Linked DNA regions of Diceros bicornis minor. The main gene of each other region encodes a partner of the protein of the gene in region 2 in a complex. Links are inferred from orthologs where the notes say so. Each region holds a gene or a part of one and is shown on either strand. Other genes may lie near its edges.

The links.
Region 1: MAP3K5 (region 2) and ARHGEF6 share a complex: the UniProt entries of both Homo sapiens proteins name them as parts of the cytoplasmic complex. The link is inferred for Diceros bicornis minor from reciprocal best matches to the Homo sapiens genes MAP3K5 and ARHGEF6.

The regions. Positions count from the first base shown.
Region 1 is NC_080781.1:124,403,662-124,420,089, reverse strand, and holds the start of ARHGEF6 (rho guanine nucleotide exchange factor 6), read left to right. Parts: upstream 1-8,003; 5' UTR 8,004-8,060; coding exon 8,061-8,225; intron 8,226-9,425; coding exon 9,426-9,509; intron 9,510-16,428. UniProt on the Homo sapiens protein: Acts as a RAC1 guanine nucleotide exchange factor (GEF).
Region 2 is NC_080762.1:1,822,667-1,838,968, reverse strand, and holds the start of MAP3K5 (mitogen-activated protein kinase kinase kinase 5), read right to left. Parts: upstream 8,694-16,302; 5' UTR 8,452-8,693; coding exon 8,040-8,451; intron 1-8,039. UniProt on the Homo sapiens protein: Serine/threonine kinase which acts as an essential component of the MAP kinase signal transduction pathway. Plays an important role in the cascades of cellular responses evoked by changes in the environment.

The DNA.
Region 1 (16,428 bases), on a different chromosome or scaffold from region 2:
GTTTTTAGCTGCTACAAATAAAGCTGTTATGAATATCATGTGTAGGTTCTTGTGTTTTCATTTTTTCTGGGATAAATGTCCAAGAGTGTGATTGCTGGGTTGTATGGTAAGTGCATGTTTAGTTTTAAGAAACTGCAAACTATATTCCAGAATGGTTGCAACATTTTACCTTCCCACCAGCAATGTATGAGTGATCCAGTTTCTCTGCATCCTCAGCAGCGTTTGGTGTTGTCACAATTTTTTATTTTAGCTCTTTTGATATGTATGCAGTGGTATCTCACTGTGGTTTTAATTTGCATTTCACAAGTGGCTAATGACATTGAATCTTTTCATGTATTTATTTTCCATCCCCATATCCTATTTTATGAAATATCTCTTCATGTCTTTTGCCCATTTTCTATTGGATTAGTTTTTTTAACTAAACGTTGAGTTTTGAGAGTTTTAAAGCATACTTTAGGGCAGGCCCCGTGGCTTAGCGGTTAAGTGCACGAGCTCCGCTGCTGGTGGCCTGGGTTTGGATCCCGGGCGCGCACCGACGCACCGCTTCTCCAGCCATGCTGAGGCCTCGTCCCACATACAGCAACTAGAAGGATGTGCAGCTATGACATACAACTATCTACTGGGGCTTTGGGGGAAAAAATATGATAAAATTATAAACAAAACAAAACAAAACAAAAAAAACATACTTTACACTGTAGGCCTTTCAGATATGTGGTTTCAATATTTTCTCCCTGTCTGTAGCTTGTCTTTTCATCCTTTTCAAATGGGCTTTCACAGAACAAAAGTTCTTAATTTTAAAGCCTAATTTACAAATTTTTTTTGTTCTGTGGATTGTGATTTTATTAGCATCAACATATATCTTCTGAACTTGTCATTGTCTCCCTAGGATAAATTTCTAAAGTGACCTTGAGGAAGGATTTTAAGTGTGATACAAAAGCTATACATCGTAAAGGGAAAGATTGGTATAGTTAATTATATACAAAATTTAAAGCTTCTATATAGTAATTGATAAAAAATAAAATTTAAAAGACAAATACTAGCTAGCAAAAAAGTTAAAACATATATATCAAAAGATTAATGTCCTTAATATCTAAAGAGCTCTTGTAAATGCACAAGAAAGAACTGTATTAGGTCTAATTTGTTGCATGATATAGAAAATATAATTAAGAATAGATTAAGCCAACTTCTGCTTCTACCCATGGGGGATTATGTGGTACAGACTTGTCCTCCCGATATAAACAACTAGAAAGCTGGACAAAATATACGAAACAACTCTTTCCAGACATTGAGACAACAAGCAGTGCAGGACTTTGATCCCCAGGAGAAGGGAAACAAACGTGCAAGAACCCTGTGGTCACTCAAATTTTTGTCTAGATGTCAATTCAGTACTATGACACGAGGAGGAGCAACTTGACTGGGTGCTGCTTTGAAAAGAAAATCTCTAAAATACATTTTTAGGGATAATTGGGGAAATATTAATGTGAACTGAAAATTAGACGGCATTAGTGAATTATTGTTAATTTTCGTAGTTGTGGTAATAGATCTTGGGTTATGTTGAAAATGTCCTTAATTTTAGGAGAGACATGCCGAAGTATTTAGGGTGAAGCGATATGCTGTTTGCAACTTACTTTCACATAGTTTATCGCAAAAAACAGAGCCACTGAGCCCATATAGGTCAGTGAAATACGGCAGAAGTTTACCAGTGATTAAATCCGGAGGGTGTGTACAAAGATCATCATAACAGTCCTTCAATTTTTCAGTATCATAAATTTTCTTTATAATTTGTGTGTGTGGGGGGAGGAGTGTCATTTTTATTCCCCCTTCCTCCTTCCTGCTGGCTGGAATGCAGACATGATGGCTAAAGCTCAAACAGTCTTTTTTTTTTTTTTTTAACTCACAACTGCCTTTTAAAAAATAACAGCTTTATTGAGACATAATTCAGATAGTATATAGTTCTCCTATTTAAAGTGTACAATTCAATGGCTTTTAGCATATTCACAGAGTTGTGCAAGCACCACCAGATCAATTTTAGAATATTTCCTTCACCCCTCCCCCAACAAAAAACCCCTTATACATATTAGCAGTAACTTCCCATTTTCCTTCAACCCCCAGCACAGTTGTAGGCAACTGCTGCTCTACTTTCTATCTCTACGCGTTTGCCTATTCTGAACAATTCATATAAGTGGAATCATACAATATATGATCTTTTGTGACTGGCTTCTTTCAGTTAACATAATGTTTTCAAGGTTCATCCATGATGTAGCATGTATCAGTACTTCATTCCTTTTTATGACTGAATAATAGTTGATTGTAATATTTTGTTTATCCATTCATCAGGTGGTAGACATTTGGATTGTTTTCACTTTTTTGCTAGTATGAATAATGCCGCTATGAATTTTTGTGTACAAGTTCTTATGTGGACACATGTTTTCATTTCTCTTGGAGTGGAATTGCTGGGCCATATGGTAACTATGTTAACATTTTGAGGCACTGCAAAACTGTTTTCCACAGAGGCTGCACCGTTTGGCATTCCCATCAGCAATGTATGAGGGTTCCAATTTCTTCACATCCTCACCAATACTAGTTATTACCTATCTTTTTGATATAGCCATCCTAATGGGTGTGAAGTGGAATCTCATTGTGATTTTAATTTGCATTTTCCTGAAGGCTAATGATATTAAGCATCTTTTCTTGTGCTCATTAGCTGTTTGTATATCTTCTTTGGAGAAATGTCTATTCAGATAATTTGCACAGTTTTAGTTATTTGCCTTTTTATTATTGAGTTATCAGTTGTTTATATATTCTAGATACAAGTCCCTAATCAGGTATATGATTTTCAAATATTTTCTCCCATCCTGTAAGTTGCCTTTTCCCTTTCTTGACAGTGTCCTCTTAAGCAGAAAAAATGTCTAATTTTGATGAAGAACAATTTGTCTATTCTTTTCTTTGTTGCTGTGGCCTTGGTGTGATATCTAAGATACCACTGCCTAATCCAAGTTCACATAAAGAGTCATTTTGAACTATGAGGTGGGAAGCTAAAGATGGCAAAGTAGCAGGAGGGTAGAATCCTGGATTTCTGATGACTATGAAGCTGCATGCTAGCCTTAGACTGCCAAATTCTGGACTTACTTCACATGAAAGTGAGATAAATTATCTTATTTTTAAAAATCAAGAACTTCTGTTTCTTAAAATACACCACAAAATGAAAGAGTACAAGAAGATATTCGCAAACACATATAACTGACGTTGGTTTAGTATCCATAATGTATAACAAACTTCTACAAATCAATAACAGAAGACAAATAACTCGGTAGAAAAGTGGGCAATAGAAATGAGCAAGTATTTTACAGAAGAGGAAACGTGTGTGGCCAATCAACATGTGAAAAAATGCTCAACCTTTTTAGTAATCGTAGAAAAGTAAATTTCATACCCACAAAGATAATAAAATTTTAAAAGCCTGAAATATCAAATGTTATCTATGATATGGAGCACTGGGAAATCATACCCTGCTGGTGAGAATGTAAATTTGTATAATCAGTTTTGAAAACAATGCTTTGAAGATCCTTATGAAGTTAAGGACTAGTTGTAGTGGGAGTAACTGAAAAAGCAAGCTGGAAAGATGGTAGGTTGTAGTTAGAAAATGTAATGTTCGAATTTATGATTTAGGAGGCAGAGAAGTTTGTGTGATGACAAAGTACAAGGTGTGACCTTGCCAGTGGTTGGCTAACGTGGAGGAGTGTTCATTGAAGATAATAAGGTGTGTCAGCCTAGGCCCAATCAGGACAGAGAAACCACAGAGGGATTTGAACATGAAAAGTTTAACGTGAAGAATTATTAATAATAACAGGAGATAGGAGTAAGAGGGATTGAGTAGTAAGAAGTAAAGGGAACTCTAAAAGAATATAGGAATAACAGATATAATATATAGTAGCAGACAATATAAAAATAATATATAATAGTCACTACCCCTGAAGCTGTGATAACCCTCCTCTCTACCCGTGGCTGAGATCCAGGCCTTGTTAGAGAAGTTGCTGTAATGCCAAGTCAGTGGAACTTGCTGGACATCCACCCTCTGGATCTTGTTGAAAACGTGCCTCTCTAGGGTGCTGGTTTCCTGTTCACAGGGTGGGTGTCTCACCAGAGACATTTTGCTGCAGAACCACCCAAGCGTGGTGCCAGGGGCAGGTGTTACCTGCTGTGCATTGAGGAAAACAATGCTGCAGAAGATGAGCACTAGGAAAGCTGGGAGCTGGTCGGAGCCTGTGGAGTGAGCACACAGGAAACAGGAAGTGAAACCCCTTCTTCCTGCAATGTCTCTCCACTGCCAGCTACTGATAAATCTGCATATCCTGCTAGCTGGCCAAGTAAAACGTATTTAAAGGCCCCAGGTCCCTTTTCACAGAACAAGCATAAAGAGGGGCTGAGAGGTAATACATCAATTACCCATAGAGGAGGTCAAGGAACTGAGTGGTCATGATGTTGGACTGTTGTACTTGTGGTTATTGAAATGACCCAGGTGTTGGCAAAAATTGAGGTGGAGTGGAAGGTTATAAACCAACTTGTTTCTCCACGTGTGACCTTGGTCCACCTGCCTCAGAATCAAGTGGGATACTTTAATAATACAGATTCCTTTGCCCTGTTGCAGATCTTCTGAACTAGGACTTTGGGGAATAGAGCCCCCAAATCTTTTTAACAGATGTTCAGTAGATTTAAAATTTTAAAAATCCATTATGAATATTTCAGACACATAAAAGGAAAGAAAATAGTATAACTGGTACCAATGTACCCAGCAACCAGTTTTAACAAATATTAACATTTACCTCACTTCCTGTAGATCTCTTTATTTTTAATAAACTGTTACCTATTTTGGCTCAAGTTCCACTCTCATTCTTTTCTCCTTCCTTTCTCACAAGAGGATTATTTTTGTACATTGTTGTTTGTAAATCACTGCTTTAGGTGACGGAGAGTCTGAGGATTTTTGAGCAGGGGTATTACACTATCAAGAGGTACGGAGCACACAACTGTGCTCTGCCAGAGAGTTCATTAGGATGAGAAGATGGAGGTGGGAAAGCCAGTGAGTGAGGGGGCAGGTTTAGTGGCCCAGGGTGTATGGTACTAAGAATCGGAAGTCAAGTGACTGGCCTTTTCTCTTTTTCTCGTGCTCTTGTGTGGAGCCTGCTACTTGTTGTGTCACTGTGACCTCTAGTCTTTCCACCCCCCACCCTATTCCCCCAGTTCAGCCCCTCTTTTCCATCATCACTTGCTTCCCTATGCAGCCTGGGTTCCACGGTTAGTCATTTCACCCAAATGCTTGCTACTGTCCTGAAATCCCTTGCTCTCTTGACATTTGACCATACCAACCCCAACTTCCAATCTTTATACTAACAGGACTACTTTTTCTGCCTTGAGGAAATAACCTTGCCTTTCTGGTTTCACTTTATTACTTATAGTAATTTGTTATAGTCAGTGTCCAAAATGAGACAGATTTTCATCCAGGTGACCTCACTGGGCTCAAGCCTATTTTGGACTAGGCTGGGCTCCTGAAATTACCCAGGCTTTGTTCTTCACTAGAAAACGTAAATGATACTGCAATAATACTGCCAGATTTGTTTGTCTGTAGAGTACAATTTTGATGAGAAATTGTGAAAACTGTCCAAATGACATACAAAAATGTGTTTAAGTAGGTCTGACTTGGGAATTTCATTTATCCACAAATAGATCTTATATTTTTTTCTATTACATAGATTTGGTCACAGGTCAAAAGTCAATTACAACTTTTGATTGACCATTCTTATTTTGCCTATACATATAATTACATCAAACCAAACATTTAGATGTCAAATCCTCGTTATAGAACTACTAATAGACACAACAACATAAATCAATCTCAAAATGATAATGTTGAGTGAAAGAAGCCAGGTAAAAGAAATTACCATACTGCATGCTTCCGTTTATATAAGATTCTAGAAAATGCAAACTAATCTATAGGGACTGAAAGCAGATTGGTGGTGGCCTGGGCTTTGAGGGGAAGGGAGGGAAGAAGGGATTGAAAGGGCACAAGGGCACTTTTGGGGATGATGGAAAGGTTTATCTGGAGTGTGTGTATGTGTACGTGTGATTGTATCCCAGATGTATACATATGTCAAAATTCACTAGGGCCGGCCCTGTGGCTTAGCGGTTAGGTGCTCGCACTCTGCTGCTGGCGACCCGGGTTCGGATCCCGGGCATGCACCGACACACCGCTTCTCTGGCCATGCTGAGGCCGCGTCCCACATACAGCAACTAGAAAGATGTGCAGCTATGACATGCAACTATCTACTGGGGCTTTGGGAAAAAAAAAATAAATAAAATTATAAAAAAAAATTCACTAAATCATACATTTTAAATATGTGCAGTTTATTATGTGTCAATTATACCTCAATAAATAAAAAATCATTAGCAAGGAAAAAGTGTTTATTTTCAGCCATTAAAACAAACAAAAAATCCTTCTTATAATCAAGTAGTGCCTGTACCCAGAAGACCGTATGAGTACATTCATTCATTCATTCATTCAACATTTTTGAACATCGACTGTATACCAGGCACTCTGCTGGGAACAGTATTAAACAGGACAGATAAGACCCCTGCTCTAGGGAGGTTACATTCTGGTGGAGGAGACACATCAACAAGTAGTAATAGTAAAGCGTGATAAGTGTTATGACAGGGCAAGAAGGGGAAGCTTTGCAAACATTTAGCAGGATTATCTAAGCTGATTATTTGGTAGTAGATGCCTAAAGCTGTGTTGAAGAGAATTCTGAAGCTTAGCAGGATCCCATGCATAAGGAGGGGCAGTGATGGTGAGTACCATGCCTTTGCCAAGCTAAGGCTATGCTGTTCAAGTTGCCCTTATCATAGATTTCCTAATAGTATGAGTATTTCAACTGGTTATGAAAGTGTTTGAGAATAGTGAAGATCTCTTGTTATAGACCAGTTTTTTTTCAGAGCAGCATTTTTGACTCAAAGTGTTTCTTGTTGGGGAAACATCAACCTTCCAGACTGTAGTGTAGACAGAGGACAAGTGCTCTTTTATTCTCTAAAGTTCTGTTTTCAAGTGTTTTTTACCCGCTTATATGACTGTGTCTGAGCCTTTGCTAAGGGTATTGCAGCTGGATTGTGTAGTGGAACCATGTCCAGAAAAAGAATTGCTAAAGAATGCAAGTAAACAGGATGTCAGATGTTATCCTTAGCCTATTTCCCTAAACATAGCTTTTTGGCTGCAAAGTAAAATGCCACTCTTCTAGCTTCTGCTTATACACAGTGATGGCTGACAGCAGGCACAATCTTCATTTGCTTGGCATGTTGTCACCATGCAACTCAACGTGTTTTGCAAGGAATGATCGTGATACACCATCTCCGTGAGACAGTATGAAGACATCCGGCCGTTTCTTGGAAGAACTTTCTCAGCCTACCTTCTTTGAGCCTTGTTGTGCCAGCACAGCTCCCTACGAGGCTCGAATCTGCCTGACCTAAGAGCCAGTTGGCATCTTGCTCTTGACAGAAGCCAGCTTTTCACTGGGGCTAGACTATTTATTGACAGCGTTTTCCCCGACTGGCCCATGAGTGGCTCATTTCTAAGGTCCTCTGAAGTGCTGGCTCACCTCTGTTTTCCAAGAGCACTTGCTTCCTTCTCTCTCCTCCCTCCCCAGCATCCTCCCCACTTCCTTCCCTTACAGCTTCTTGCACTGTTGGGGTTTTGTGTGTGTGTGTGTGTGTGTGTGTGTGTGCTTCTTCTTTTTTATCCTAACGAATTTGTTTTGCAGATTTTGAAAAAGAAAACGAGTGCTATCCATGATTTTTACATTCATTCTATTTCCACATCTTTGAATGTGATCTCTGTGGTTTTAAAATTCCATAATTTGAGTGGGTTCCACCGTTGTCTAAGAAAAGTTGTTTCAAAGCTTTGTTCTGCAAGCCCCAGAAGAGAACTCATAAAAAGGAAGACAACAGCAGATGCAATCGCGGATGTGGCTTAGTCCTTGCAGCTGCCCCTGAGAGCTGTTTGGAGCGTACAGTCCTCAGTAATGAATCCAGAAGAGCGAATCGTGACATGGCTTATATCCTTGGGAGTTTTAGATTCCCCCAAAAAGACCATCTGTGATCCGGAAGAGTTCTTGAAGTCCTCGCTGAAAAATGGTGTAGTGCTGTGCAAACTGATCAACAGACTTAGGCCTGGCTCTATAGAAAAGGTAAGGGAAATTTACAGTACCTTGAGGATTGCTTACCACCAGAGAGCAGCAATAATATAACTCTTGAGATGTTCTATTGGGCAGGTCACGGGACTCTCCTTTAATCTCTAAGAGTTAGACATTCTTTCTTACTGTTTCTTTAGTTTGAAAAAGTCAGAAAATGAAATTCTATTGTTTAGTAATTGTCCCAGAAATATCAGTGTACTAAAAACCTGATACCAGGGGACAAGAACACCCGTATCACAAGCTTGCTCTGTCACAGATATACATGTCACAGCTCCTTGTGTACCGAGGGCATGTTCTGAACTTGGGGTACATATGAGTCTGTGTAATAATGGGGTGATTTATAACAGATATTGATGGTGTTTATTGGCAATTTGACTAAAATCAATGTAGATTTTCTTCTCAAGGAGATAAAATATCCATTGAAAGAGAGACTATTTAGCAAGCAGGAAAAATAATCCAAAATGTCACATAAGCTTTGTTAAAACAATAGAAATCAAATATATGTTTCAAATGCAACATGTGTTCAAAGTGAAACTAACGTTACTCTCTTTTAAAAATCCAAAATTTTTATTGTTGAAAACCCATGATCAAAAGGCTGGATAATTTCTAAAGTAGGCACCTTAAGTAAGTTTAACTGTAGAGTCCTACAGTTATTTTCTTAAAGTCAGTGGGGACTGTGACTGTGAGCATAGTTCTTTTGCCTTCTTGAATCAGTTTGTATTTTTATTGAACAGATTTATTTACTTATAATTTCTTAAACTTGAAAAATGGTGATAAAATATTTATAAAATAGAGACAACTGTGATCAAATGTAGAGAATAGCAAAGGGGAAAATATAATTTTAATAAATTGTCATGAGGAGGAGGGAGCAAAGTAATCAATTGAAAGCAAGAACCAAGCTCAAAAAACTGTCTGGGTCTCTCTAATTTGCTATTACCACACTTGGCAAAAAGCATGAGAAAAAGTTTGTAAGTAGAGATCACTTGGGACTAAAGGTTTGGTGACATTTGAAACAAAGACCAACCGTTTAGATTTTTGCATCACTTCCTTCGGTGGTTATTTCTCTTCCTGGATTGACAGCAATGTTGCCCCTTGCCTTAAAGAGCCTACCTATCTAGTCATCAATGAATGAGAAATATGGTATGCTTGGCATGGATGACAGTCTCCAAGTGACATTTGACTATATTTCTCTAGTACTGTCTGGAGCCCCAAACCGAAGCTGACTGCATGAATAACATCAATGACTTCCTGAAAGGATGTGCGACCCTTCAAGTGGAGGTAAGCCTGCCCAGGTTGTCTTCCTCGTTGTCATCATTTTTCGCTCTGCTAATTGAGATGGTGGTATAGTAAAAGTGCTTGGTTTATTTTCATTGTTAAACAGAGGAAGCATTGTATGGAAACCATGGTTAAGATTGGTGGTCCCCAGTGGTGGTTGCTAGTTTGTCTTTTCCAGAAACCAGTTCCAAAACAAAGCAAAACAAAATCAAAACTCAAAATACGATATCTTTTAAATACAGCATCCAAGCCGTGAAAGCAGGCTTCCGGTGACAGAGCTTGTGTGGATGTGAGAGCAGGCTTCCGGCGACAGAGCGTGTGTGGCGTGCTTCCCTACTAAGGGGAACCAAAAGTGGGCCACTGGCTGCTGCAGAGGGTCACTGCAATCCCCCTGAGTTTGGAAGAGAGGAAAGTCTATTGTCACTTTTTCCCACTTTAGAACACAGACCTTGAAATCCTGAGAGAACCTGGCCCTGAGGTGGAAATTGAATATTAAATTACATTGCATTATCTTATATTATATGCAATATACACAACATGTATAGGGGTTGTTGCTGAAAGGGAGGTGGTACTTTTGCCTGTGTGTTAAGAAGTTACTTAACTTCTCTGTGCCTCAATGTTTTTATCTGTAAAATGGACACAATTATAGCTACCTCATGAGGTTGTCTTAAGGATCAAATGAGATACTGCATAATAATTTAGGCTAAGAGCTCCAACTTCAAAAGATCTATGAGATAATGTATGTAGAGTGTTCATCACAGGACCAGGGACATAAGAAGTGCAGACTTGCGTTAGTAGTACTTTTTGTGGAGAAGTACTAGTAGTGGTTTGAGCATGGTCTCTGATGCTAGACTGCTTGGGTTCAAATCTCAGTTCTCTCTCACTAGTACCTTTGTGACCTTGGGCATGTTACTTAATTATGCCTCTATGCCTCAGTCTCCCTAACTGTAAAATGGGAATAATAGCAGCACCTATCTCATAGGATTGGTGTGTGAAATTTCAATGAATCCATGTCCTCGGAAGAGTGCCTGGCACATAGTAAGTGTTTTCCAAGTGTTAGCTATTAGTAGTAAGTAGTAGTACAAGTAGCTTTGCCCTAGATCAACTTTGCTTGCTTCAGAATTTTTCCTCAAGTTAGCCAGAGCATCAGGCTATGCACGTCTCAGAATATTTTATTCTGGGTTTCCCTATTGCCTAATTATAGCTCTGTGTGTGTGTGTGTGTGTGTGTGTGCGCACGCGTGTGCGCACATGTATGTGCATGGGCACGTGTATGTGTGCATAGGCACGTGTGCGTATGGCTTTTGAGGTAGGTGTACCCCGAGACCACTCTATATCCATTACAGAATGATATGTATTACAAACAGATCATGGTATTTTCTTTTTTTATTTGTCAAATAAAAACATGGTGAAGTTGCCAACAATTTCTGCACTCTGAAGCTGCCAGAAGGTATGCTGAGCTTCTTTGCAGTTCTAAGAATACTAGATGATACAGAAACACCTCCTGGGTCTGGAATTGTTGGAGAATGAGTCGTTTCACAAAAGTGGATTTTTCTGATAACTAATGCTTACTACTTTAAGCAACAATGCTTAAGATATTTTTATCTATTTTGGATATAAATCTTTCTAAAAAGTATGTCGTAATTTTCATTTTTTAAATAAAAGGCATTGGGCATATTTTTTATTATTTTTTGATAATTAAGGCTGGCCTGAACATTGTATGAATATTGTAATAAGGCAATCTCTGGCATCACGGTTAACCACATACCTTCTCTAGTTTCACAGACTTGGGTTAGAGTCTTGGCGTGGTCAGTTACTGACTGTGTGACTATGGGAAACGTTACTTGGCCTCTCTATGCTCCAGTATTCTCATCTATATAATGCAGACATTAGTGATATCTACTGCATACAATTGTTTTAAGGATCAAACGAGATAACGCATCTAAGGTACTTATATAGAACTGCACATAAGACATGCATAATAGCTGCTTGATGTTACTGCAATTATTAGGTAGTATTGTATGCAAAATTATGCCTGTATTGGGAGCTATATTGAGGCACTCCTAGAACCCTGAGGGAAGTCAATAAAATCAATACATAAGGAATGAGACTGAAAGCTGAGCTGGGTGCACCCAGCAGCCAAGAATACTGACCATCCAGTCTCAAGCTCCTGGGTAGCTAAGAGACAGACCTAAACACATATATTTGAAAATTTTAAAAAATTATTTTTTATTGAATATATTTGACATATAACATTGTGTAAATTTAAGGTGCACAACGTGTTCCTTTGATACATTTATATATTGTAATATGATTGCCATTGTAGCAATATTGATCACATTACATAATTATAGTACAATATTGTTGTCTATAGTCACTATACCGTGCGTTACATCACTGTGACTTATTTACTAGTCGTGCAAGTTTGTACACTTAAACAACATCAATTTTTGTCCTCCCAGCCCCCATTCCCTGGGAACCACCATTCTATTCTGTTTTTTTTGAGTTTGACTTTTTGAGATTCCACATATAAGTGAAATCATACAGTACTTGTCTTTTTCTGTCTGACTTATTTCACTTAGCATAACACCCTCAAGGTCCATCCACTTTGTCACAAATGGTACAATTTTATCTTTTTTATGGCTGAGTAGTATTCCATTGCATATATATACCACATCTTTTTTTATCCATTCATCCGTTGATGGGCATTTGCGTTGTTTCCATATCTTGTCACTTTAGACAGAGTATCTCTCAGGTCTAAAGTACCTAACACAGGGGCTGGCCCCATGGCTTAGCGGTTAAGTTCACGCGCTCTGCTACTGGTGGCCCGGGTTCAGATCCCGGGCGCGCACTGACACACCGCTTCTCCAACCATGCTGAGGCCTTGTCCCACAGACAGCAACTAGAAGGATGTGCAGCTATGACATACAACTATCTACTGGGGCTTTGGGGAAAAAAAAAAAGAGGAGGATTGGCAATAGATGTTAGCTCAGAGCCGGTCTTCCTCAGCAAAAAGAGGAGGATGAGCATGGATGTTAGCTCAGGGCTGATCTTCCTCACAAAAAAAATAAAAATAAAAAAAAATAAAGTACCTAACACAGTGCCTACTATAGGACATGCTGAATAGATTTTTGTTGATGCCATAAAACTGTTAACGTACAAAAAGCAAGAAGAGCAGGGCTTGACTATTGCCCAAAACACACTATCATTTATCTGAAGAAAGAGTGCCGGCTTGAAATGGTCGGTTTGGAAATGCAGAAAAATGAAGCCAGGGATGCAGCAGCACACAGACGATTTGAGTATCAACTGTGGGGCGTGGTGACCGTGTTAAAGGGCCGTTGTCTTCTGACCCTTTAGGTGCCCAGTTGGCCTCTATCTCTGTGTTCTCATAGGACTATAGTGTCCTAGGGTCTCTAGAGATCACACAACTTGCAACTGGTCAGGGAAGTCTGCTGAGACACCTGGGGAGAAAAGCACTCTCTAAAGTGCTTCCCCAACTTGGACAATACCCTTAGAAACACAAAGGTTTTTAAAATTTTGATGAAGTCAAATTCCTCTATTTTTCTTTTGTTGCTTGTGTTTGGGTATCATATCTAAGAAACCATTGCTTAAAGCAAGGTCATGAAAATTTACGCCTATGTTTTCTTTTAAGAGTGTTATAGTTTTAGCTCTTACATTTAGGTCTTTGATCCATTTTGAGTTAATTTTTGTATATAATGTGAGGTATGGGTCCGAATTCGTTCTTTTACATATGGATATCCAGTTGTCTGAAAGCCATTTGTGGAAAATCCTATTCTTTCTCCCACTGAATCAATTAATGTAGCAAGAGTCCTCCAATTTTGTTCTTCATTTTTAAAATCATTTTGGCTCTTCTGGATCCCTTGTGTGCCCCTATGGATTTTAGGATCAATCTGTCCATTTCTGCCAAAAAGCAAGCTGGAATTTTGATAGGGATTGTGTTATCTGTATATCACTTTGGGGAGTATTGCCATCTTAACAATATTAAGTCTTCTGATCCGTGAATGCAGCATGTCTATCCATTTATTTATTTCCATTTATGTCTTTTTAAATATCATTCAACAATATTTTGTAGTTTCAGTGTACATGCCTTGTACCTCCTTGGTTCAATTTATTCCCAAGTATTTTATTCTTTTTGATACTATTGTAAATGAAATTTTCTTAACTCCATATTTGGATTGTTCATTGCAAGTGTATGGAAATACAATTGATTTTTATATATTGATCTTGTATCCTTCAACTTTGCTGAACTTGTTCATTAGTTTTAATAGTTTTTTTTTTTTTTGCTTCCTTGTGGTTTTCTTGTACAAGATCTGTACATATGTATATCTGTGCAAAGAGACAGTGTTACCTCTTCCTTTCCAATTTGGATGCCTTTTATTTCATTTTCTTGCCTAATTTGCCTGGCTAGAGCATTCAGTACAATGTTGAATAGAAGTGACGAGAGTGCACATCCTAGTCTTGTTTTTGTATTAGGGAGAAGGTTTCAGTCTTTCACTATTAAGTATGATGTTAGCTGTGGGTTTTTCATAGATGCCCTTTATCAGTTTGAAGGAGATCCTTTCTATTCCTAGTTTTTTGAGTGTTTTTTCATAAAAGGGTGCTATATTTTGTCAAATGCTTTTTCTGCATCTGTTAAGATGACTATTGGCTTTTGTTTTTTATTATATTGCTATGTTGTTGTATTACATTGATTAATTTTCATATGTTAAATCAATTTTGCATTCCTGGGATAAATCCCAGTGGGTCATGTTGTAATATGCACATAGATATTTGTGCACATCTGTGATTATTCTTGAAGCATGTTTCTTCATAGAAATGAAATTACTGTTTCAAGATTTGATAGATAGTCTCAAATTCCTCTACAAAAATGCTATATGAAGTTATACTCCCACAATAGTGTAGAAAGTGCCTTCTTCCTCATGTCCCTGGCAGCACTTGATATTATTTATCTTTAATGTTTGCTAAAATGTTGGGTGAAAATGGTATTTCACTTATTGCTATAATTTGAATTTCCTGATTCCTAGTGAGTTTGGACATCTTCTCACCCCCTTATAGTCCATTTGTATTTCCTTTCCTGTGAACCAAATATATCTTTCTTATTTGTTTACAAATGATGAAGGCAGGGAGGACACTCAGGCCTCAAGAGAAAATCTTCCAGAACATATGGGAACATCCTCATGTCTAGAGTGTCACTAATGTGAGCAGGAAGTCCCTTGACAACACTATTCTAGCAATGGTAGTTTTGTTTTTGTTCCGCCTTTGAACTTGGTGGGAGTCAGGGACATATACAGTTCTTATGATCATTCGAGTGGCCTGGGTGGTACCTCTCTGACTGCATTGTCCTGGCTCCAGCCCCATGAATGATTGGTCTATGACAGCTCTAGTCCTGTGGTTTTCCTTTCAGCCAGGCTTTCCTCCTGTCTCATCCCCAGCAGGTACTCCTGCTTTGTCCCCTGCCACCCTTACTACCAGCCCATTGCCAGGGACACCCTGCCATCTCCTATTCTGCTCCTGGGCCAAGCCTACTTTGTAAAAAGATGTTTGCTTCATGAAGGATATCATTGAATGTATATGAGGCTCAGTTAGTGCTTCTTTCTCTCTTTCTCTTTCTCTCTCTCCCTCTTTCCTTTTCTCTCTCTCTCTCTTTCCAGTACCAGCTGGTATCAGTATGGCTTTTTCTTTGCCCCCACCCCCTCATTGCCTCCTGTCTCCCTGAGTCACTCCATCTGCCTTGTCACTGGAACAGCATGGGTGCCCTCCCCAAAGTAGGGCTTGTGGGATGGACGATTTGCCACTTCCCAGGGGCTGCTCTGCAGGGAAGCAGTTCTGGAAGGAAGGCAGCTCTACTAATGATCATGAGTCAAGGCTAAATCTCGGGTAAGAGAGCTCCAGCTCTAGGAGAGCAGAACCTCCCTGGAGGAGTTAGGCACAAGGCCAGGAACTAACCAGGAGCTGTAATGGGTATCAGCAGACCTTCTTTCAAGCCCTGGCCCTGCTACTTGTATGAAGTCAGAGTCCCCTTCTCTAGGCCTTGGTTGACTCATCCGTAAAATGAAGAGACTAGAGCAGGGATTGGTAATGCCTAACTGTTGGACACTTTCTAACTGGCCTGATTCCATCAGTTTCCACGGGGCAAAGCTTTGTATATTTAGCTGCTCAATTTGAGCCAGTGGGAAGACTAAAGAGGATTTTGGTAAGTTTTTTTTTCCCCCTATTGAGCAAATCTGACACTCCTAATGGAATTTCCATGAGTTACAGTAAGTGACACACATGACTCTGGCCATCCTACTCTTTTACCGACTGCATTGTATTTCTGTAAACATTGGACTTCAAGTAAGGTTGTAAATATTTCCCATCTATCACGAACCTTTTTACTCTCCCTCATAGAGCCTATTTGATTTGGGGCCTGTTATCAGAGAGCCCAGGAAGGACACTCAGGATAGTTCAAGGAAGGGAGGTATGTGGAAAGCGCTTCCTTGCTTGGGTGTCTCAGCGGCTCATCATAGAGCTTGGAGGTTACCGAGTTGCACCTGGGGGTGGAGAAGGAAGTGGGCCACCAGGAAAGGCTAGTCTGTGAGGCCCGGATTCCCGCCCGAGGCTCTGGCAGTGGCCCGCAGCAGGCCAGGCGCCGGCAGCCCTGGGCTAGGGACTGAACCAGGCGGCAGCAGCATGCGCAGTGTGGCCGCCGCCGCTACACCGCGGCTTCTGTTGCTGCCACGGCTACCCGGGCTGCCGCCGCTGCTGCTGCTGCTGCTGCTCTGCCCTGCGCCGCTGTCACTTCCAGTTCCTACTTCAGCGATCCAGGTCCGGGTCATTGCTTCCCCACCGCTGGCCGGGTCCCTCCAGGCCGCTCTCTCTCTCGGGCTCTGGCTCTGGGCAGGAGGGGGCCCGCGCGGGCAGCT
Region 2 (16,302 bases):
CCCAGCTGTGCTGTCAACCCAGCTCTCTGGCTCACTCTGGAGAAAGGCTTGGTCTACCACCACCTTGGCAGTGCCTCTGACCACCCTGCCCAGAAAAGAGCCTCAGACTTGCCCAGAGAAAGCCCAATTCACAGCTACGGGCCATGCAACTGGCAACCAGCCTCGGCCTTGGCTGCAGGCTTCCTCTTTGGTACCGAAAGAAAAATGTCAAAGTCAGCTTTCTGATGGATTATTTTACAAGACTGTTAACAAGAAGTCACTAAAATTTGTTTGCAAGAGGGGACCAGAAGTTAAGTGACACCACCGTGACTCTCCCTCATAATAAGGCTACCAGCATGGACCAAGATGTTAAAACTGACCCTCTTAAACAGCATATGTGCTTTGAAATGTTTTTCACCACAGGGGGAAAACACACCTGGATTACTTGGAAGTTAGAAGACCCGAGTTCGACTCCTACTCCACCACTTGATCTATTCTAGCCAGGTCACATACCCTCTCCAAGGAGGAGTTTCCTCAACTATCAAATATAGACGATGACATGGCCACATCTATTTATTTTATGGTGCTAATAAGATGATCAAAAGAGTACTACACTCCACAGAACAACATTCATTTATATCATCACTCTGATGTAGCCACATAAAATCACCTGTGCCCGCACAGGACCAAACTATGAATTGGAAAACACCTTGCTGGAGGTAAAAGCCACAGCCTCTGGACAGCAGGACTCGCCCGCCTGGTCCTGGCTGCTTAAGCTCTAAGCTGACATTTGTCACATTCACCATATCAGAAAACTTGAGTGTGCGATTAAGAGGCATGTGACATGGAATAGGCTGGGTGTACTTATTCTCCTTGGATGATTTTTAAATAAGAAATAGGGGTAACCAAGACTTTTCAAGGAGGACGAATTCTCTGGCATAGGCAAATACTTGGTTTGAATGGTTTGGAGTCAGCGGACAGATGGCCTGACAGTCACTAGGGCGGTTCTCCCCAGGTTTCTGTTTCTTACGAGTTCTTAGAAGAGACTGAAGGGTTGGAAAACACTGATATCACTGGTCACAACCATAAGCAGAGACTTGCTATACAAGGAATATAACTTCCTTCCTGTATGAATCATATACCAAAGGCAATTGCTTTCCTCATTGTGGATTACCTATTGAAACAGAAAAGGTCCCCTGGAATGCAGTGTTTGTTGTTACCTTGTGCAATTTCTGTGGCATTTCAGCTACACAGACCTGCTCTGCTACGATTTTCAGTAGGAGATGCTGCTAATATTTACATTTTCTCTCCTCCCTTCTGTCTCCCCTAAGAAAATTACCACAACGTAGACCAGGTTATGTATGTTAGTTTTTATGTTTTGCTTTGGAAAAAATCTACAAAATAAAACTCACATAAGAGGTAAGTACTCACTTTTAAAATTTTTGGAATAATTAGATGAGACTTCAAAAACCAGTTTTGTCTCATACCCCTTCTCCTTCTCCAGTAATCTGGTACACATTTTGATCAGCATCAACATCTCCAGCCAGAGAGAAAAGCCAGTATATTAACACAACTAAAGAAGCCAATGTGTTAGAATCACCAGTGAATTTTCAAATAATTTATAATTTTGCTTTGCTTTCCTTTTTTTTTCTTTAATGCTACTAATAAAATTTGCAAATTTAATTTTGCTCCCTGAAAATAAGGGTATCTTTCTTAAATATAGCCAGTTTCCCCACTTATCTATATCCAAATGATGGGACAGCCAGGCTGTTTCCAAGATATACCTTTCTCAAGGCTACAGGGTCCTGGGTTCCTCCTGATACCCACAGGGCTGTGCGTTCCTGCACCCCTGCCCACCCCCACGGCTTTACCACATCCTCAACTCTCACCTTGCCCCAGGCAGAGTGGGGTGGTGTCTGAAGGGACCACTTGGGGCAACCAGTTGGAAAGCAGAAACAGCTGGAACCTGTCGGTGGAGACCTGTGCATTCAGTGGGCTTTTGTGCCTGTCAATCTCCCATTGCTCCACAAAGAAGCTGTGAACCAATTTTCTCCTGCAAACCAGAAACAGGAACTGGCCTCCAAAACAGGAAGCAGGGGACAGTCCCTGCAGCTACCAGAGGGGAACTGACCTGGAGCAGAGAACTCCCAGAAAGCTGGCACCAGCCAAGGCCACTGGTGAGACGAGGCCACGCTGTGCACTTATAATTAGGCTTTACTGGAGGTGGAGCCAACTTAAACTACCAACTGACGAATGTCAAGCAGACCAAAGGCGACCAAATTGAGCAGAGAAATCAGGATCCCAGGACCCTGGGAAGCAGGGCCAGTCGTGACAATCTGCAGTTGACTATTTGGGGTAAGAAACGGGTGCTCTAAAAACAAATTCATTCTTGTGCTTTGAAGTTTTCTTTTTAGTTTTGCTTTTTGTCAATCTCCTAGTAAAGCTCTTTCTGGGAAATTACAATTTTGCCTCCAAGAAATCAAGAGGAGGGGTCAGCCTGGTGGTGTAGTGGTTCAGTTCATAACGGCCTGGGGTTCGAGGGTTTGGATCCCAGGCATGGACCTACACCACTCATCAAGCCATGCTGTGGTGGTGTCCCACATACAAAATAGAGGAAGACTGGCACAGATGCTAGCTCAGGGCCAATCTTCCTCACCAAAAAAAAGAAAGCAAAAGGAAGCACAGTGCTCCGGGTTCACAGGGGGTGGGCACAGGTGCTCCAATGGTGTGCCAGCAAAAAGTCAAAAGCCCAAAGAAAACCATGCACAGAGCACCACAGGAGTATTTCTTTAAATCTCTCCTAACTAGACTTTCTCCTGATGAGTTTGTCCACGTTTGCTATTTTGCTGAGGTCTGTTTCTCGTGTGAAGAAGTGACTGGAAGAAGGGAAGGGCTGTGAGTGGTATGACCAGAGGTCCTCAACACGGCTCCGCTGACCAGCAGGATAAAGCTTTCACTCATCCATGCTGAAATGAGAAAAAGAATCCTCAACAATGAGTTCTTCCACACAGTAACTGTATGCAAAGAGCTATTCCTTATTCTAAGGTTATGCCTTCCCTAATCTAACATAAAAATATCTTTTCCTTTTTGAGAAATCACGGCAGCAGACGGCCAGTTGTCGAATTCTCTCTCTCTTTCTACTATCCTTACTCGGAAAAATAAAATGTTGACAAACACGTTGGTCTTCAAATTTTTTTAAACTAGTTCATGGGAACCACTGTTCAGAAAATGCTGACTTCACCCTCTCCCTCTAAGTATCTGAGATGGCACACAGGAAAGCTCACTGGATTTAAAAGCAGAAAATGCAGAAGTGGGCTGGAAGACTTTCAGAACTTCTCAGCCGGGGACAGACAGGAGACAAGGGTGATGCTTGTTTTGGTCTGTCGTCAATAAGACTGGAGTCCTAAGGAGCCGTGCCGAAGCAAGTGGAACCAAAGCCCAGGAAGTTCCAGCGCCTCTCCAGGGACATGGCCTAAATGGCTGACTTTCATCACAAGCCCAAGTAAAGCGGGAACGTAACAGAGATGAAAATATAAAAGCTAAGTTCTCAAGATTTCAGCCAGTGTATGCTTCCTTCCTGTTACCCACTATTGCTACAGGGCCAAGGCTGGTAAGAGCTTGCAATCTGCAGCGAGCCTGGCTAAGGGAACACCCAGGCAGATGGACACAGTGCCTTGCAGCAGGGAAAGGGGAAGTGGGCGGCTGTTCTCATCCCGTGCCCACCATCCCGTGACCACCGAGAGCCAGTGAGGTGGCCTTGAGGAGAGCAGTGTCCCTGGGTCTCACATCAGCAGGAAGTCAAGGCCATAAGCAGAAGGTCGGGAGGGGAAGAAAGTTGAAAGGGGAGAAAGTGTTACTAGATTCCCTGCTGGCATTGCTCCCTCCTCCTCGAGCATCCTTCCTCTCCCTGCCCAGCATCCCTCCTTCCTCCCGACCTCACCACAGCACCTCCTCCTCTCCTCACCTTCAATCCAAAGTGAAACTCCTACGTCTGGTCTAGATGCTACCAGAAGCTAGATGAAAGCAAAAGTTGCTGAGTCTAACACGAGGAAAGGTGCATTCAAAGTCTCGGTGTCAGGTTTCAGGAACTTAATTTTCCTGAATGTTTAAAGAATGGGTTTCACACTTCGCGTACACTGAGTTAACAAGCTTCTCACAGGCTATTCCCAGAATCCAACCACCATTTATAACACTGTTTCTAAGGAGACGTGTGTTCCTGGTTCCAAGAAGCAACCTTAAATCATTTAACCCGAAAGAATGAATATAACCTCTTTACTTTCAGTTTTCCCATGAGCAAAATGGGGGAATAATCAAGCCTCTTCCTGCTATACTTCACAGAACTGGTGTTCACTAAAAAAATGTTTATGAGACGCTTCTACCTTGGGTCTGTCTACCTGAAAGGAGTAGCTCTGTATCCCTGACATCTCTTGGCTTTTATGGAAACTGACTGCCTACCATGCAGGGGCCTGGGGAGGGAATGATGCTTTTGTATATGTAAATATAAAGAATCTTCATAAAAGCTGTGACAATAGTAGTTTCCCCTCAGAACGGGAATGAAAAAAAAATGACAAGTGTAGTCAGGGAAGAAACTAGATTACAGTTACACAATAAACAGGGAAAATAAGTGAAAACCTTTGGCTGCAATCTATTCTTTAAAAAGACTCCAGGACACGTAGACAGGGAAGCCTATAAAAATGTAACCAGCTTTGAGTTCTTATCCATTCCATTAAGTGGAGCTATTCCAACATCAACACTCCCTTTTCAATGTTGGGGTCCTTGTTATCCCTCTGTCTCAGTGTAGGGGTCACCTCTGAACCCACCTCCCGATGTTGATTCTAGAGGCTTTTTCCTGGGAGCCCAGGGCGCTCTGTGCGGACCCTCACAAAGGCCTCGCTACAGCCAGCCCTCCCCATCAACTCTCAACGTCTGGGGCCGGAACATGATATACACAAGCAGTTCATCCATCCCTATGGACTGAAATGATTCCTTCTGTATTAATAATGTTGCAATTTTAAAGTACAGAATTTGAGAGCTGGAGGGAATCTGAGACACCAATTATTCCACCCCTCCACTATTTTCTGAGATTTTAAATGACTTGTTCCATATTAGAGAACCAGGACCAGAATCCAGATCTTGAAACTTGTTCCAAAGCTCTGTCCCAGCGTGCCAGGCTGCCTTACCTTTGCAGACTTACAGGAGTAAATCTGGGAATATAAGAAGTTTACTTCAATTTCCCCTCCACTTCCACCCCTGGTCAGTTTTACAGGCCTCTGCAGGAGGCAAAGGGCCTTGCTCACAATTACGTGGTTCAGAGCAGAGCCAGGATGGAAACTCCAACTGAACCTGCGGGACAGTGTTCGTCCCACCACATCATCCTGATTCAACTTACAAGTGGGGGCAGTGGATGCAGAGCAAAGGTCAGCATGGCCCAGGGGCCAAAATCCTGCCACGCCTGTTTTTGTATGGCTTGCAAGCTAAGAACAGCTTCTACATTTTTAAATGATTGGGAAAAAAATAAAAATAATAATATCTTGTGAATTATATGAAATTCAAACTTCAGTGTCCATTAATAAAGTTCTGGGGCCAGCCCAGTGGTGTAGTAGTTAAGTTCTGCACTCCACTTCGGCGGCCCAGGGTTCGCTGGTTCGGATCTTGGGCGCGGATCTACTCACCGCTCATCAAGTCATGCTGTGGTGGCATCCCACATACCAAATAGAGGAAGACTGGCACAGATGTTAGCTCAGCGACAATCTTCCTCAAGCAAAAAGAGGAAGATTGGCAACAGATGTTACCTCAGAGCCAATCTTCCTCACAAAAATAAATAAATAAATAAAAATTAAAAAAAATAAAGTTTTATTGGAATACAGCCACAATCATCTGTTTAGGTACAGTTAATGGCTGCTCCCCAGTAACAATGGCCGAACTGAGTAGTTGTGGAGAGACCTCACGAAGAGTCTAAAATATTTACCATCTGGCCCTTCACAGGAAAATTTGCACAACCCCGGTGGAGTAGGAGCAAGCACTGTTTTAGGAAGACAAGTTCTACTACCTTCAAGCTGGGAGGACGTCAGTTTAGAAAAATAAGGGGTTCGGACAAAACATATCATCTTCATTCATCACATCTTCACGCAGAAGGAGAGGGCTCCAAGCTCATGTCACTCACGCAGGCAGGGTTCAACTGGAGCCTGAGCGGCTGAGCAAAGCAATGGGATGGGACAGAGCTGGCCCAGAAACACAGGCCTTCCCGGAGCGTGTCCTCCCCTCGATTCCACACTGCACCTACATGGCTCACAAGGTCCCTGCCAGCTCTGCGTCACATGATCCAAGATAGAGACTTTCCCTTGATTCTGAGAGTAAATCAGCCCAGCTGAAGGGAGGCAGCAAGGGCAGAGCATGACCTTTTAGGGTCAGCTCCTGAAGCGGAATCCTGTATTGACTAGTTATGACCTCTGAGTCCCAGGGCCGGTTGTGGATCCCTTGGTTTTCTCACCTTAGAAGGAGAGTAAGTATTTCCATTACAGGCTCATTTGGAGAATTAAATGAGATACAGTTCAAATGTCTGGTCCCTTCTAATCTTTTTCTCTCCCTTTCCCAGAGATAGTACTTGGAGAATAAACCCTAAGTGAGCCTTGTTAGGAAACTTTCTTTCAAAGTAGCTCAGCGTTTAAGATTTTTCTATAGAACCCTATAAAAAATACCCAATCTATCAGTGCAATAAAAATAGGCCCAGTACTCAGCTGGGTGTTTTCCTCACGTATCTTTCAGTTCTTTGAAGCTTCTTCCAAGTTATAATCCAAAAATAAAGAGTGCTGTAATTTTTAGAAAAGTTATGCTTATGCAATTTTTATAGCAAGCTACGCAAAGAACCAAGCCATAATATATTCTACTCCTGTTCAGTTATGAAGACCAAGTCTGTAAAAAAACAGCAGAACCAGAAAGTCCTAGTTTATTTAGTCTGGCTTCCTTAGCATGAAGAAGTTCTTGTTCTTAAAATATTCAGCTTTGGCTGAATTCCAAAACTGACATAAGCCTACTTCAGGTATTCTGGAGAGACTGAGGAGAATCAGAACTGAAACCGGACTGGAATATAAAACCTTTTACGTGATCACAAGTGCAAGAACCTTATTGTTTGAAGCCACCATTAAATCAAATTTTCCCCCCCACACTTAATAAATATGCACATATTCTCAATATTGGTTGCACAGAGTGCTAAGGGTTAGTTTCAATAACACATCATTATTCCTTACATTTGCTAACAGAGAGCTAACTGCTTCAGTCACTAGAATTGCAGTAACACCCTGAAATCTGTCATAGGATGAAAAGATACACTTTTTTCATACATTATGCTAGCAATCACTTTAATGGCCAATAGCACATTCGCGTTTTCAACAATGTTAAATTAAACACTTTTCAGCCCAACAAGGGATATGGGGTAATAAAAAACAGACCTGGTTCTTTCACCGAAGTCTTAATAGAGTTACCACACAGCCTTAGTGTAAGTGACTTTTGGAAGTGACGACTTGAAACTTCGAATTGGTAAGAGATGGGAAGTTCAAGCCACTGAGCTCAAGGTAAAGTGAGCTGGGAAGATCATGACAGGACCTGCAGATTCACAGACACACTCCGCGTGCAGCCGGCTCCGCGGCATCAGTCACGGTGTCTGTTCTTCCAAAACTACCCCGAGAGAACGAGAACGTGACCTAAAGCGGTCACAGGCGCGTCCAGAAGGAAACACGGGCCACCCTGAAGGAAGGGAAGGCACCACACTGGACGGAGGACAGACCGGGGCATGTGCGCGCGCCGAGGACAAGAGTTCTGTGGGGGAGCCCCGCGCGGCGGTCGCGGGTCCCGCAGGGCACCCGAGGCCCGTGCACCGGCACCCCCTCCCTCTCCCCCGGGGCCCGTGCACCGGCACCCCCCTCCCCAGGAGCGGGGCCGGGAGCAGCGGGCAGCGCCGGGAGCGGGGCAAGAGTGAGAAGGAGGAAGCACGCCGGCTGCCCGGAGAAGCGTCTCCCCCGCGGCGGCCGGGGGCTCGGCCCCGACCCGGGGCGCACACGCACCTGCGTTGTAGAAGCGGTCCAGCACCGCCGTCTCCCCGAAGTCCAGCTTCCCGAAGTGCAGGGTCTCCAGGGCGGCGCCCGCCGCCTCGCACGCCTCCCGCAGGCTCTGCAGGGCCTCGCTCTCCGCCGCCGCCAGCGGCCCCAGGCTCGCCTCGTTGATCACATAGGCCACCGTGGTCCGCCGGCCGCCGCCCGCGCTGCCCCGGCTCCGGGGGGCGCCGCTCGCGCACGCGGGGCCCGGCGCGGCGCCCTCCACGTTCCAGAAGCTGCCCGGCGGCGGCGGCGGCGCGAGCGGGCTGTCCTGGCCCTCGGCCGCCGCCCCCCGCCGGCCGCCCTCGGCCAGCGCGCAGAGGCCCGGGGGCGCGAGGGGCGGCACGGAGAAGGTGAGGCCCTCGGCCGCCTCGCCGCTCATGGCCCCCGCGCCGCCGCGCCGCCGGGCCGGCCACAGCTCGGGGCTGCTCCGCGCGCGCCGGGCTACGCGGCTGCCATCGCGCGTCCCGCCCTCCGCGCCGCGCCGCCGCCGCCTCTCGGGCGCCCTCTCCGCCGCGGGGACGCCGCCGCCCGGCGGCCGCTCGCCCCTCCTCGGCGCCTCCGTGGCCGCCGCCGCCGCGGGTGAGGGTGCGGTGGGAGCGCGGGCGGCCCTGCCCGTGCGCCCTCGGGGGAGCTACCTGCCGCCCGACGGCCCGCCCCGCCGCCCCGCGCCACTTCCTCCTCCTCCTCCTCCTCCTCCTCCGGCCGCGCTCTCCCGCCGCCCGGCCGCCTCGCCCGCTCGGCTCCCGCGGCCGCTCGCGCCGGCCCCGCTTCCGACCGCCCCCTCGTCGGGCTCCGCGCGCCGGCCCGCCCGTGGGGGGCGCTGCGGGGAGCGCGGGCCGGCCCGACGCGCGCCGCTGCCACCTCAGCGGTGGAGCGCGAACGCCCGGGCGCACGCACGACGGAGCGCGCCAAAGTCTGCCCGCGACGCGCGGTGGTGCGCTCGGCTCCGCGGGGCGCGGGAGGACGCGCCGGGGGGATGCCCGCCGGGCCCGGGCCGGGGCCGGAGCGGGAGGGTGGCTGAGGGGGGACAGGGGCGCCCGGCAGGGCAGGCGAAGCGGATCAGGTCTGCCCCTGGTACTTTCCATTTTGAAGTCTCCAACAGCGGTGCTGTCACCAAGGAGGAATCGGTTAGCTCCAGCTGCCGACCGAGTTAGCATGCTCCTTTAGGTTCTAAAAACTCCCCTCCACCGCCACATGCTTTCCCGAGATGGAAGACTGGGACTTGGCAAATCATTATCTGCCAGAGGAAGGAGGGAGATTAAGTGAATTATTCTATCTTTTAAATTGCACCACAAGAAAAATAAAATGCCTGGATGGCTTAAGAGAGATCAAAAAGTATCTACTTATATGCGGGGCAAAAACAGATGTGTAAGTTCTCAGAGAACTTCCCCAGAATGCTATAACTTTCGGAAAACCAGTGAAAGATGCAATATAATAAAGTACCAGGTCTGGACTTCCCATCCTCAGGAAGCAAGATTAATGAGTTCTGTGAAAACGGTAGAAGAAGAATGCAAATTACATTCAAGCTTGGGGGAAACGGAGGATAAAACAGTTGAGTAGTGAAGAGTTAAAAGAAGGAAGGAAATGGTAATGTGGAAAACCCCTCGCAGCTGCACAACTGTATCCTCCACAAAGCAAAGTGACAGCTTTTTCTCAAGGCTTGTAAAAGGATAGAGGTAAATTTACAGTAAGTAACTTGCTCCTCTACGTGTCAGCTGGAATCTCCGTGATCCACAGCTGCCTTTGGACTGGGTGTCATTAGGAAAGTAGATGTGTAGTGGATCAGTGATCACACTGAACAATGTTGATGGGCTACTATAGATACACACCTTCTAATATTCCCGACAACTTGTCAGATCTCCAACTCCTGTGGGAGTAGATAACCCTCCACCCCATACTAACCCAAAACAATAAACACTGGAAATTCATTAGGACTATGTCTAGAAGACTTAAATGCCTAAATTCTCAAATAGCATTTTACTACACAAATAAGATCTAAGATTATACATAAAGCTATTTTCTAAAAAACCGTAACTCTGTAGACCATTTCACCTTTGCTTCCCTTCCAGGTCTTTTCAGAGCCACTTTCCATACACAATCTTTATGTTCATTTTACTTTATTTGCTTTGTTTTACTTTGAATTGATTTAATAACTTTAAAGATTTTATCGATTACTGGCACCCAAACCCCAATGCAATGCTGAAAGACTGCTTCTCTTGCTCCTAAGGCGCTCCCACATTAAAAAGGCATGGCAGCAGAACTGAAGTCTACTGGTCAGGACTATATTCTCACTCAGAGTCCCTCCCACGTCCACTTAGAGATGGACCTTGGGACACCTTGAGAACACCTGCAGGTAGGACAAAGAATTTTCGTAACAAAAGAGCTGGAGAAATAAAAGGGAGAGACTTCTGCTTCTGATTATGACAGATTAGGTAATTCTCATCAACCCTCTCACTGAAGAAGACTAAGAATGCTGGACAAAATTTAAAATAAAGGCATCAAAGAACTAATGAGATAAGGACGATCTACCCGGCCAGTTTCCGGAAGAGAGGCCAGGGATCCAGACGGTGTGCCTTGGTTGGGGCTGCTCCTGGCCTGGCAATTTTTGTGGCTCTCATTAGACATCTGAGAGGCTGGACTGCATTTCTGACAACACCTGGAAAGGACAAAAGTAAGGATGAGCTAGCCTAGAAGTAGGAGTGAGCTAGCAGTAAAATGACCCTTACATGGACAGCAACCCTGCCTGCAGACGTCAGGAAAAAGTCTCAAAGCCTGAAATTGGATTAAGGTAATTCCAGGCATTCGAGAATCAAAATTCACTCCAGAGGAAGCTAACATCATCCTGGGCCGTCAGTTCTTTCTACAAATACAAGATCTGTGGATGTCGGCAAACCTTTGAATGCATGGTAGAATGGTGGAAGAGGAACAAGAATATGACTCCAAATCCTCCGTTGCCATCTGTGCCCGAATTTCCCCTCCAGACCCACTCTCCATTCCCAACCCCAGTCTCAGCCTCAGGAGCCTAATCTCTATGAATTAAATCAATGGCTCCCTGGCTTTCTGTTTACCAACTAGGTTTGGTCAGTGGGGAGTCCAGGCAGAGGATCTGAAGCAGGAAGGAGACTGTGACTCTGAGTCACCTCAGGCTGCTTGTTCCTCAACAGAAAGTCATTGGTCTTCTAAGGTGGCAGATCCCGCAGGACTCACTTTCTTACAAGATCTCATAACTGTCCCTCACCTTGTTGTTTGGCACCTAGAAATGATGACAGCTCTGAAGCCGCTAGCCCCAAGTTCCTGCAGAAGCCCTTGAGGCTTCCCTGTACGCCCTCCACACCTTTGCAATTAGTCTTTTTGTAAATAAACCCACCTCAAAGGATCCTGTTTCCTGTTGGGATTCTGATAACTACCAGTGAGCTTTTAGAAATCAGAAAACTAATTTAGCCTCTTTGGGCCTGTTTCTGCATCCATAAAATAAAGTGTTCAATTAGATTAATTTGAAAATCCTTTGAAGTTCTAATGTGTATTGATGGGTATTGATATATACATTCAATGTGTATATACTGAATTGAAATGTGTGAAGAATGAAAATACCACTGGGTAACCAAATAGTAGATGAAGGAACTTTCTCTTTATAGAAATATTTCAGCTAATACATATAAAAAGTCTGAGGTAGTTAGAATTTCACCATTTTGCAACTTTTAATGAGTTTGGATCCAGGTATGGATCATCAACAGTCACTAACATCATTAAGAAAGAGATAAGCAGGTGTCCTGTGCTTCCTGATGGGAAAACATACCACAATTATGAGGCAGTCACACCAAAGACAGGGGGCAGGAATCTCATCAAGGCCCTAGAATCCAAGTCTGAGATTCAGCAACTAATTCCAGGAAATATGGAGGACCCAAAAACAGGTTAAAACACTCTGGAGATGCAATGAGTGGAATCTCTAGACTGTGGGAAACTACAAGTGGCTCATTTTCTTGCACAAATAAGTTACGACCACTGTAACTGATGCTATGTTCATTTTCTAGTAATAACATGGTCAAATGTGTCTTAGGGCCATTTCTAGTTAAAAAAATAATAGTAAGTGCCCATTGCCATGCTAACTGCTTTATGTGCACATCTCAAGTCTTCCATCTTTCTAAATGAAGAGCCCAGAGGAAAAGGTTACCCGACGTGAGACAAGGAGTTAGTAACAAGACCAGGGTTCCAATCCAGAGCCTGTGCTATATCCGCTGCTCCTTATCAGCATGAAGGGATAAGATCATCGAGTCAGAGAATATTGTTTTGGTTCTGGTGTGAGGACATGCCACCAGTTCATCTAACAGCTGCATAAAGTTTAAAAGAAGGGTGATGAGAAGTTGAGACAGACTCTATTTGCCAAATTTGGAATTAAAATATCATGTCAAAAGACCATTCTTACTTCTTATTCTGGAAGCTGTATATGGTAGCTATGTTTCCAAACTCTTCCAGTGGAGCCAGGGAGAGTGAAGTCTTGGGGAATAACCTGAGGCCCAAGTCAACAAGGTGAATGTTGTTGGTGTTTGTTTCATGTCTCTGTTTTATCTTGAAGTTTGCCATTTGTTTCATAATTTATGCTAATTTGTTTTAATACAAAATCATGTTTTGGATTTCTTAATCCTCTGAGAAAAATCTGTGCTCCTGGAAGATGAACCTGGTTCCTTTGTATATCTAGTAGCTTCAAATTCCCTGTCCACCCACCTCAGCAAACTCCTGTAGGGTGGTTCTTAGCCATGGACGCAGATCAGATTCACAAGAAGAGTTTCACACAAATAGAGACTCCCTTCCCCAACCCCAGAGATGGAATTTAAATAAGTTTAAGAACAAGATTCCTTCAATATGCCTATAGGATTTGATAAAGCAGTTTTATCATCTAGAGATCTTATTCTTGGGATTCTTTCCATCTTTAAGTGATTCAATAAATGCTCAAAAATGGACAGAGTCCTGGAGTTCAGCTACACGAGTACTGGGATCTTCAACACTTAAAGAGATTGTCATAAATTCTAAAGTTGAGTAAAATGATCCCCCTCATGTGAGTATAGAAATCTGTCCTAATATTCCTCTTGCAGAAGCCATGTAAGTGGAGAATGACATCCCCAAATTTTTTAGCACAAAAGCTCACTTTGAATTCTATTATAAACCATTTTAAAATAATGCATTACTTATAACAGACTTAAAATATCAGAAATAAGTGATTTCATTGAATTAAGTATACTGTTATACTGAATGACTTCTGTAAAAGTTAGGATGGAATCCAATCTGTTAAAACATTTAGACAAAAAATATTTTTACTTGGGTTTTTCACTGCAAACTTACCACATACATTTTTATTTTGAATCACCTTAATCTAGCAAATATTTAAGCCTAAGTATAAATGACAAGGGGGTCCAGGAAATGGTGGAAGTTAAGTAAAAAGTAAGAAAAGAAAACATATGACTATTTAAATTTAGATTAATTAAAATTACATCAATTTGATGTAATTTGAATACTCAGTCACAGTAGCCACATTTCAAGTACTCAATAGCCATATGTGGCTAGTGGCTACTTTATTGGACAATGCAGGTACAGAACATTTCCATCATTGCAGAAAATCCTACTAGACATAGAAAGAAAGCTGTTTGGGCCTGCCCCGTGGCTTAGTGGTTAAGTGTGCGCACTCCGCTACTGGCAGCCCGGGTTTGGATCCCAGGTACGCACCGACGCACGGCTTCTCCAGCCATGCTGAGGCCGTATCCCACATACAGCAACTAGAGGGATGTGCAACTATGACATACAATTATCTACTGGGGCTTTGGGGGAAAAAAAAACGAGGAGGATTGGCAATAGATGTTAGCTCAGAGCCAGTCTTCCTCAGCAAAAAGAGGAGGATTAGCGTGGATGTTAGCTCAGGGCTGATCTTCCTCACAAAAAAAAAAAAGAAAAGAAAGAAAGCTGTTTGCCATACTGCTAACTGAGGGATTCGTATTCATTCACTTAGCACTATATTGAACAATTAATAAAGTGTGATCCCAACTGAGCTCACTCCTACCTGGAGAGACAGACAGGTAAAGAGACTGAGCTGCAATAGGATGTAGGCAGAAAGTGAGTCAGAGCTACACCCGTCCAGGTGAGAGGGAGGAATTCTAGCCCTGCAAAAAAGTACAAACATGAGATGGTCTGTTGAGTTCTAGAAAAACCACAAGTAGCTCAAGCTAATACGTATAAAGAGGAGGAGGAGTGATGGTTTCATAGTTCTCCCCCCACCACTACTTCCCTCCACAGCTCCTCTTACTACCACTGTGAAGCTAGGTCTACCACTGCTGCTACGACTAAAGTGCGCATTTTATACGGGGGTTGTTAAGAAACAAGTTTGCAAACTGAGGCTGAGGCCAGATGTTGAAGCACCTTCATGAAAGAAAGTTTAACTTCATGCTATAAGAACAGGAGACATTCGAGGATTTTAAGCAGGGGAGTAATATCCCACCTCTGTTTTAGAAAGAAAACTCTGGCTCGGGATAGAAGTTTGGGCCTGTAGCTAACCCAGAGGAAGTCAGGAGGCTTCTGCCTCCTGTTCCAAGCCTGGACCGGGAAGTACAGAGATCTCATGGCATCTCAAGTCTCCTTGAGCGGGCATGATTCTCAGGGAATCTTTGACATGCTTCCTCTAAAAGTATAGATGCCAATATTTTAATTTCACTTTCTGCCCTCATAGGTTGCAGCACTTTTAATACAGAGAAACAGTTCTCTTCCTATTTGGTGAAAGGACGACCAAGACCTCATCTGTTTAATATTGCCCCACGCTGCCCTGAGCTGCCCCACACTGCCCCATGCTCTGCCCACATACTCATCTCCTGGACTGTCAAAGTGTCACCTTCTTCTTCCCTCACTTTGACTATAATTCGTACTATTAAAGGCATCCCTGTAATTTAGATAAACAAATCATGAAAAGTATATAGCAAGGGCTACAGTAAACGTTTTTGTGTAAGCAACAGAAACCAACACTGACTACCAAAACCAAAATATGAATTTTTTGCCAAGATATTGTGGCTCCTGGCATCGATGCAAGGCTAGGGTCCAGATTCAGAAAATGGGCAGAAACCAAGAGCTGTCAGAGGCCAGCAGCTACAGCTGAGGTCATTGCACAGGAACAGCAGCTGTGACTTTGTCCCTAATAGATGTCACGCCTATTTTATATAAGACTACAGTTGTTAAAGACATAAATCCTCTAAAAGTAATAGTGCTGGTTCACTAATAGACAAGTCAACGAGACAGAATAGAAAATCCAGAAATAGATCCAATGACGTATGAAAATTTAGTATAAGATAAAAACAGCCTTTTAGAAGATTGGAAAAGAAGGACTGTTAAAAAGCAGTGTTGGAGTAACTGCACAGCCATATGGAAAGGATAACATTGGATTCATTCCCCAGACCACACACCAAGGAAACTTCCAAATGGATAGGACATATAATTATGAAAAATGAAACTCTGTGAGTACTGAATCAATATATGGGTAAATTCTTTTCAACTTAGGAGTGAGGAAAACTTTCAGGACTGTGACTCAAAATCCAAAGGCAAAAAGGAAAAAATAGATAAACCTGATAACATAAAAATAAAAAGTCTTTACATGGCCAATCATCATAAGCAAACTAGGCATGAGAATAGCAAACCGAGAAAAATATCTGCAGCTGATATCACAGCCCAGAAAACAAGTTTCCAAAAATAGAGAGCTAAGAAACCAAAAATCCTACAGAAGAATGAGCTATGGAAAGCCATAGGCAACTCATAAACATGGAAACACAGGCGTTTTTACCTGTGTACAAAGATCTCGGGCCTGCCCCGTGGCATAGTGGTTAAGTTCGCTGGCTCTCCTTCGGCGGCCTGGGGTTCGCAGGTTCAGATCCTGGGCATGGACCTATGCACCGCTCATCAGGCCATGCTGTGGTGGCGTCCCACATACAAGATAGAGGAAGATGGGCACGGATGTTAGCTCAGGGCTGTTCTTCCTCAGCAAAAAAAGGAGGATTGGCAATGGATGTTAGCTCAGAGCCAGTCTTCCTCACACACACAAAAAAGATGCTCAACCTCATTCACGAGACAAATGCAAATTAAAATTACGCTAGTATTCCACTTTTAACTTGCTACATTGGCAAAAATCCAAAAATTTGACAACACAGTCTATTGGCGAGGGTGTGAGAAAGTAGGCACTCATTCATTCCTGGTGGAATAAAAA